Linked DNA regions of Tribolium castaneum. The protein of the gene in region 1 purifies or fractionates together with the protein of each later gene. This does not show direct contact. Links are inferred from orthologs where the notes say so. Each region holds a gene or a part of one and is shown in the gene's direction. Other genes may lie near its edges. The genes, in order: E3 ubiquitin-protein ligase Godzilla and g.

The links.
Region 2: the proteins of E3 ubiquitin-protein ligase Godzilla (region 1) and g purify together in Homo sapiens (affinity purification with mass spectrometry; 3 studies listed by BioGRID and IntAct, counting the BioPlex papers as one, with this or other methods). This does not show direct contact. The link is inferred for Tribolium castaneum from reciprocal best matches to the Homo sapiens genes RNF13 and AP3D1.

What each region holds. Positions count from the first base shown.
Region 1 is NC_087398.1:4,233,465-4,237,390, reverse strand, and holds the start of E3 ubiquitin-protein ligase Godzilla, read left to right. Parts: upstream 1-1,359; 5' UTR 1,360-1,425; coding exon 1,426-1,500; intron 1,501-1,548; coding exon 1,549-1,618; intron 1,619-2,437; coding exon 2,438-3,040; intron 3,041-3,926. Other genes in the region: Uxs (UDP-glucuronic acid decarboxylase 1), read right to left, coding at 1-96, 145-544, 595-815, 868-928. UniProt on the Homo sapiens protein: E3 ubiquitin-protein ligase that regulates cell proliferation. Involved in apoptosis regulation. Mediates ER stress-induced activation of JNK signaling pathway and apoptosis by promoting ERN1 activation and splicing of XBP1 mRNA.
Region 2 is NC_087401.1:15,047,103-15,051,028, forward strand, and holds the start of g (AP-3 complex subunit delta), read left to right. Parts: upstream 1-1,122; 5' UTR 1,123-1,166; coding exon 1,167-1,262; intron 1,263-1,308; coding exon 1,309-1,404; intron 1,405-1,447; coding exon 1,448-1,576; intron 1,577-1,623; coding exon 1,624-1,764; intron 1,765-1,812; coding exon 1,813-2,082; intron 2,083-3,561; coding exon 3,562-3,635; intron 3,636-3,682; coding exon 3,683-3,831; intron 3,832-3,926. Other genes in the region: uncharacterized protein Proc, read left to right, coding at 1-65; l(3)neo43 (cytochrome c oxidase assembly protein COX16 homolog, mitochondrial), read right to left, coding at 493-798. UniProt on the Homo sapiens protein: Part of the AP-3 complex, an adaptor-related complex which is not clathrin-associated. The complex is associated with the Golgi region as well as more peripheral structures.

The sequences.
Region 1 (3,926 bases):
TGCGGGCCACCCGCACCTGCATGTTTTCCTGCTTGGCATAAGCATAAGTTAAAGTCTCTGAGACTCGTTTGCCTTCGTCGTAACACGCGCGAGGGCCTACAAACTGCAAAAGTAACAAAGGGGAAAAACGACACCGTCGCCAACCTATGGGATTGACATGTCCCCAGTACGTCTCGGGCTGGGGGTGGATGTCGGGGTCTCCGTACACTTCCGAAGTGCTGGCGATTAGAATTTTGGCGTTCAGTCTTCTGGCAAGGCCTAGCATGTTAATTGTACCTAAAGTGTTAGTTTTGATGGTTTTGACCGGGTTGTACATGTAATGGGGGGGACTAGCGGGGCTTGCGAGATGGTAGATCTCGTCGACTTCAATAAATAAAGGATTGACTATGTCGTGGTGAATTAATTCGAAATTCTCGTGACCTATCCAGTGCTCGACGTTGCGCTTCCGCCCCGTGAAAAAATTATCAGCGACGATGACTTCATGACCTTGCAGCATTAATCTATCAACTAGGTGTGACCCCACGAAACCGGCACCGCCAGTTATCTACAAAACGTTTTTACTCTTCATTGACAGTCCCGGGGGGCACTTTGTACCAAAATACGTTTTCGCGAGAGGTAGTTTAGGAACTTAACTTCGGGGTACGTCTTGGGCACCCTTGCCTCAAGAGCTAGGATTTTATTTTCCAAGTCTTGAATTCGCTCGGACGCTTCTTGCAGAAGGTGCTTGTTGTACTCAAGCTCGTCCTGATACAGGTGCAAATTGTGCACATTTTCGGCCGACCTTTGCCGGCTGTATTTAATAAAAACCAACAACACTGCAACAACCCAACATAACCTATAAAACAAGCGACAATTTATTTCCCTTACAAATCGATAAGGACGCTAGTAGTACAAGCAAGTGTTTGATTTTCCAAGTAACCTGAATCATGTTACGCAACGATATCGCATTTTTTATCCATTAAAAACGCCTAATTGGGTTTAAAATTGACAATCACTGACGACACATCGTGTGATTGGCACGCCTGTGTGTCAGCTGTGCCACCAGAAATGTCAAAAAATCGTTTCTCAAAAGTGCTGCTGTTTATTTTTTGAAGTTTTTTCCCGATTACGGGCGCTAATCCGGTTAACAGTGATCGAATCGCCCCGAGGCCGATGCCCCCCGGCGCCCACCCCAAAGCCCCCGCATGTCGCTCGAGTAAAGTGCGTTAATTATTTTATTTACAAAGACGTAATTTGAAGGTTGACTGTTTGACATATTAATTAAGCATCCTACAATAACAATATCGGATTGCTCATTATCTCCGTAAATTCCCTCATTATTATGATAAAATCGAGCCAAGAGCCCGTTTAGGGGTGGCTGTTTTGACCAAATCAAACTTTACTTAGTGATAAATTATGTGATAGTTGGATTTTTATACAAATAACATGAAGAAACCGGAGTTAATCTGCCTGCTGTGCGTGCTCCAGTACACCTCGGCCGAAATCTACGCTATACGATTCGTAAGTCTTCCAAAAAAGCCAATAGTAACTCATCATTTCGCTTTTAAGGACTCGCAGTTCTACTTTGACGAATTCGAGGATGTCCCTGCCAGTTTTGGGAAGAAATTGTCAGATGGAGGTAAACACTATCAATCAGCACTAGGTCATAAGATTGCGTATCTTATCACAAGCGTAAATTAAACGCTGTAAACTTTAATGCGTGTTTACACAACCGTTCAATTTTTGGAAAAAACAAGCGGTTATGCAACACGTTATGCATTTCTATGGCCCATTACTTTATTTATTACCATTTGGACAATACGTAATGAATGCTTTGCAGCGGTTGAAAAATTCTATTAGTCACAGCTTTGATTATTTTTTGCCTTGTGGGAGTGTAAATCCACGGTGTCATCATGTCTATATTTAATTTTTTGCTCAATAATAGATAAATGTATCAAAATAATACAAAATTACTTGGTTTGTTTATTACATACGTTTATTATCTAACAACGCAACATAATCGTTGCACGAAATTTGAAAAAATTGCCGTCTAAAATAACGATAGAAAATTTCAGACACACAGAAAATTCGCTCCCAATTATTCATAGCAGTATTCAATAAAAAATACTTATAATAATTATCTACATTAATTTTAAAAGTTACAACGGTAACTACTTCACAAAGATAGAGCAGTGTTGGACAACCTGAGTCCTGAAAACAGCCCAGGTTCAAAATGCCCAAGGGCAGAAAATTTTTTTAGGGTTGTTATTTTATGACTAAGGCGAAAAGTAATTTTCGCTTAGTTCGGTTTGTTTCGTTCGAAAAACTCAGTTTGGCCGAATTCGGTTCATCTCCGATAGCGAGTAAATAACGTAATCGCAGCTTTGGGGTCACTTGATAGCTGCCCGAGTACCAATTTCGACTTTTTCACGCCAGTCTTTTGTTCGTTTGTGTTCAGTGGTTCGCGGCGTCTTGGTGAACGCCGACCCTCCTGACGGCTGCACCAGCGCCCTGAAGCCGCCCCCCAAAGACGTGGAGAACGAGACGGGGCGATGGATCGTGCTGATGCCGCGCTATAACGACGTTTTGAATTGTTCTTTCGAGCAAAAGGTCCGCATGGGTCAGGGGGCTGGTTACGACGCCGTCGTGGTCCACAATGTCCACTCGAACCAGCTGGTTCCAATGTCGGCGAAAAACGACACCGGAATTAACATTCCTTCAGTATTTGTGAGCGAATCTTCCGGCTCGACGCTGAAATCGATCTACGCCAATCCGCAATATTTCATCGTGATCACCGGGGAATCACCGTTTAATATTCAGACGCATCTCCTGATCCCGTTTGCGATTGTCGTGGGGATTTGTTTTATCGTAATGATTATCTTTCTGGTGGTGAAGTGTATTAAAGACAGGAGGAGGCAGAGGAGACATCGCTTGCCCACGTCCACGCTTAATAAAATTCCGATTTGTAAATACCAAAAGGGGGATCCGTACGAGACGTGCGCCATTTGTCTTGATGACTACATCGAGGGCGAGAAGCTCAGAGTTCTTCCATGCAATCACGGTAATTTTTTCTGACTTTGTATTAAAGTGTCTGTTGTTTGTCGTCTTTTACATTGACTTGACTTAACAGTAGCCAAATAAATTACTGTCAAAGTGTTACTTTTATCGTAATCATTGGCTGATATTGTTTTTTGGCGTTTAAAATTTTTCATACTCTCAACAGTAACGAAATGTGCGACAAAGACAAGTATTACCAAAATTATTATTCTGTTTTTAACGGTTTTTGTAATCTGTTTAATTCGAAAAATAGAATTGATTAGACGTTTAGAATTTGCGCCAGCGGAATAATTTTTCTAACAAAAAAAAATTAAAATTTGTCTAAATACATACTCCCTCTTCCAAGAAAAAGCTCAAGCAAAACTGAAAAATCACAGAATTCTGCACTTTATTATTAAAAAATAACTTTTGTTGTGTACTACTCATTTGTAAATTTCTTTCCGAATTTTTTCTACAATTTTTTATAATACTATAATTAGAAGTATGTACGAGTATTAATTAATTAATACTAATTCGCTGCACTCTAAAAAAATTTTTTGATTGATCCATTTTTTTTCGAGAATTTTGAATGAAAAAATTTGTTCGCAATCATAAAAACACTGACTGACGTAATTTCAAATTCACTGGTTAGAAATCTAGTCGATAAAACAAACGGTGTTTAAATGTTGTTTTTTGCAAACAAAACGTAAAATAATAATTAATTCATTAAAACTAATTTAAAATAATTATAATTTTTTACGAATGTCACGTATTTGTTGTACAAAATATTATTTAAGCATCACTTGTTTGAAAATAATAATAATAATAAAGGGCTTTTATTAAATAAAATTAACAATAATAAAAAAATGAGAAGGAAAGTCTAACTTGAAGCTTGAAGATGGAAAATTAAT
Region 2 (3,926 bases), on another chromosome or scaffold:
ACGCGCCCCCGCGGTGGCACCCCGAAAGCAAGCTCTTCTACAAACGCGAGGCCCCCGCACACTAGACCACCCCCACAACGACAAGGCAACGGACACGGAACACGATTTTTAAACATTCAATGTCATAGGTAGACACATTTTAAACTTTATTTTATTACCGACAAGAACAATTATTTTTGTAAATAAGTGGCCCCCTGATTGACAATAACGCCACGACCCTTGATAAGCAATTATGTAGTTTTAGGGAATTGTGTCAATTACTTGACAATATTATCATTTTAGAATTGATTGAGAGACCGTCCCGAGGGAGGTTGTCGGTAATAAAGCTCTTTATTGCAATTTGTGAAGCAATATTTTGACGAAACTTTTAATAAGTGTGTCATTTGTAATATCCTAAGGTGTCTTATTAAAGTGTTACATGGAATATGTGCATGGGAATAAAAATATATGAACATCCAATCGCTTTTTATTATTTACAAACTAATAGTTAAGTTATTGCGTTGTCTGCTCCTCCCACGGCCGGGGCCCCCTGACCTGCTCCCAATTATCGATATCAATCTTCTTGATCTTCTCGTACTCCGACTCGAGCGTGACTTCGCCCGGTTTCTTCATTTCAATCCCCAATTTCTTCATTTCTTCGGGCTTAACACTGGAGACTCGTGAAAACTGATACCTCAACTGTGCAAATTCACGGAGCCCGAACGAACCCCCCAAAACCACAAGAAGAAACGGCAAACCATATTTCACCGAACGTTTATTCAAAAACTCGTTTATTTTCGCCCCCACGTTATGCAACATTTTTTGAGGTTATGTCACCACATTTGGTAAAAAACAGTTTTGGGGGTAACAACCGGTCGGTGAACCTCCCCCAGGGATAAAATCACCAGTTTTGATCAATTATACGACTCGTCAAGGGCTAGGAACGCGTTTATTGTGTGTTATTTTGACGAGCCGCCACTGTCATCTGTCATTAACTTGTCAGTTGTCAACGTGGCTACGAAAAGTAAAAAACTGGGGCGAACGCTCGAGCGCCCCTTTAAAACATCCTGTGATATGAAAGAACTGAAATTCGGGCGATTCTGTGCGGAACTATTGCCCCAATTCGAACAAACTGGTCGGGTGGCTGTGTCGCCCCCTGATTTGATTTAGTCAGTTTTTTACGCAAAATGGCCTTAAAGAAGGTTAAAGGGAACATTGAACGCATGTTCGACAAGAATTTGACCGATTTGGTCCGCGGGATCCGCAATAATAAGGAGAATGAGGTTTGTGCAAAAAACGAGGTTATGTTAGTTGCCCCCTTGATTGTAGGCGAAGTACATCTCGCAATGCATGGAGGATATCAAGCAGGAGCTGCGACAGGATAATCTCTCAGTTAAGAGTAACGCAATCGCGAAATTGACTTATGTGAGTGATTTGGTAAATGATTTCGATTGATTGTGGTTTTTAGTTGCAAATGCTGGGGTACGATATTTCGTGGGCCGGCTTTAACATAATCGAAGTGATGAGTTCGAGTAAATTTACGCTGAAACGGATCGGTTATCTCGCGGCTAGTCAATCGTTTCATTGTGATTCAGAGGTGGGGTAATTAAGTCCGATTAAAACGTTGATTAATTGGGATTTTAGTTGCTCATGTTGACCACTAATATGATTAGGAAGGAGTTAAACTCGCAAAATCAGTACGAATCGGGGCTGGCCTTGACGTCCCTCAGCTGTTACATCAGCACTGACTTGGCCAGAGACCTTTCAAACGATATTTTAACTCTTGTAACTACCCAAGTCATTTAATCAAACACAACTAATTGTTGCTTTTAGTTAAGTTCCACTAAACCCTACATTCGGAAAAAAGCCGTTCTAATGATGTATAAAGTGTTCCTCAAATATCCCGAAGCCCTACGTCCTGCCTTTCCTAAACTAAAAGAAAAGTTAGAGGACCCCGATCCGGGGGTTCAGTCGGCTGCAGTCAATGTTGTGTGTGAACTGGCACGAAAAAACCCCAAAAATTATCTAAGTCTGGCCCCAGTTTTTTTCAAATTAATGACCACAAGCACCAATAATTGGATGCTAATTAAAATAATCAAACTGGTAAGTAGTTCGTATTTTTTTGACTACGGACAACTAAATACTAGGATGCGGGACGATGTACGAATAAAATGTCCCCGTTTTTGGGAGTTCCATCACCGACGGCAGATGGCGCAATATTAAAAAATATATTGTGTAGCACAGACTTGATCGGAATAATTTTTTAAATTTGCGATTATAAATTAATAATTAAATTTTTTAATAAAATAAAATAAATTAAATTGAGTGAATGGCAACTAAATGTAACTGAAAAATATTTGACTGACGTATTTTTATTGTTATTTTTATGCCGTAAAGCTAACTGTTCTTTAGTAAAAGAATATCAAACTAATTCATTACTCATTACAAATAATTAAAAAAAATATATATTCAGCGACTCAGTATTAAATAATTATTTTTGATTATAAAGAATAACTATTATAGACAAATTTTGAAAAAAATTACAAGTATACAGAAAAAATAAAGTATTTAATAGTAGTAAAAGCTTATTATACTGCTCTTCAAAAAATAACTTTTTTTAAATCGTTGATTTTACTTAAAACTATAACTGTAAAGTTAATAATTGGGACAATAATTTATAACTAATGGTATAATTTGTTCCAAACCTCTATAAATCATTTAAAAAATTGACTATAGCATTTTTTATTTTTTTTCTTTTTCATATTTTTCATTAAAGTTTTAACGTATGCTATTTTAAAGTATGCTATCATTGCATCTGACGATCTTTTGACTATTTCCTATAATATCGTTACTTATCTATATGTGTAATATTTCTTGAAGAAACCTTTCATGTCTATCGATACTGTGCTAAGATTTTTTACCAAAAATCTAAGGGAGAATAAAAAAAATTGAAAAGACATGTTATATTTTTCAGCCCCTTATAGGAATAAAAAATTCTCTGAGGATTCCCTGGTAGTTTTCAATCTTTTTTTTATTTTATATGCACACACATAAAAAACAAAAAAAAAATTTTGAGAAAAGAAAAAAATATTTGAAAAAAGTCTATATTATAGGAAAAAACTGAAAGTAGTGCGTTTAAATCTTTTTATACTAATTTTATTTAAAGGAGAATTGCGTTACAGACCAGTCTTATCTTCGATTACTAATTATTTTTTGAAATATAGAAGATATAGTACTTTTACCCCTTTACTCCCTATTTCTAATACGCTCTTATAAATAAGGTTGAAGATATAAAAAAGGTAAGGAACTAAGTTGTAGAGAATTAAATATTCTTTAAAAAAAATTGTAGTCTAAGATTAGAAGAATTTGAAAGATTTGGAAAATGCTTTTTCTCATATTTATCTTGAAAATTTTAGACAGTAGTAATGAATAAATAATAAAAGTAATTAATATATTTTTGGGTACAAAAAAAGTCGAATTATTTTGTATCTCGTTTCGCCTCCTAGCATATAGTTCTCCGTATTTTTTTTAAATTAACTGGATTAGGTCCTTTGATAAAGAAAACAACGCTTTTTATTTTAGTTCGGTGCTTTAACGCCTCTTGAACCTAGGCTAGGTCAAAAGTTGATTGAGCCTTTGACTAATCTCATACACAGGTAGGGTTGCGCCCTTTGTTTTATCATAATTGTTTTAATTATTGTAGCACTTCGGCAATGAGTCTCTTATATGAGTGTATAAATACGGTTATAGCAGTTTTGATAACAATATCGTCAGGAATGCCCAATCACGCCGCTAGCATACAACTCTGTGTCCAAAAACTGCGGATTTTGATTGAAGATTCCGACCAGAATTGTAAGTTTAGCGTGGGGCGAGTCATGTGTTTTTTTTTTCTTAAATTATTTTAACAATAATCACGTCACTCGCTCCATTAATTCGTAATCAGCGCC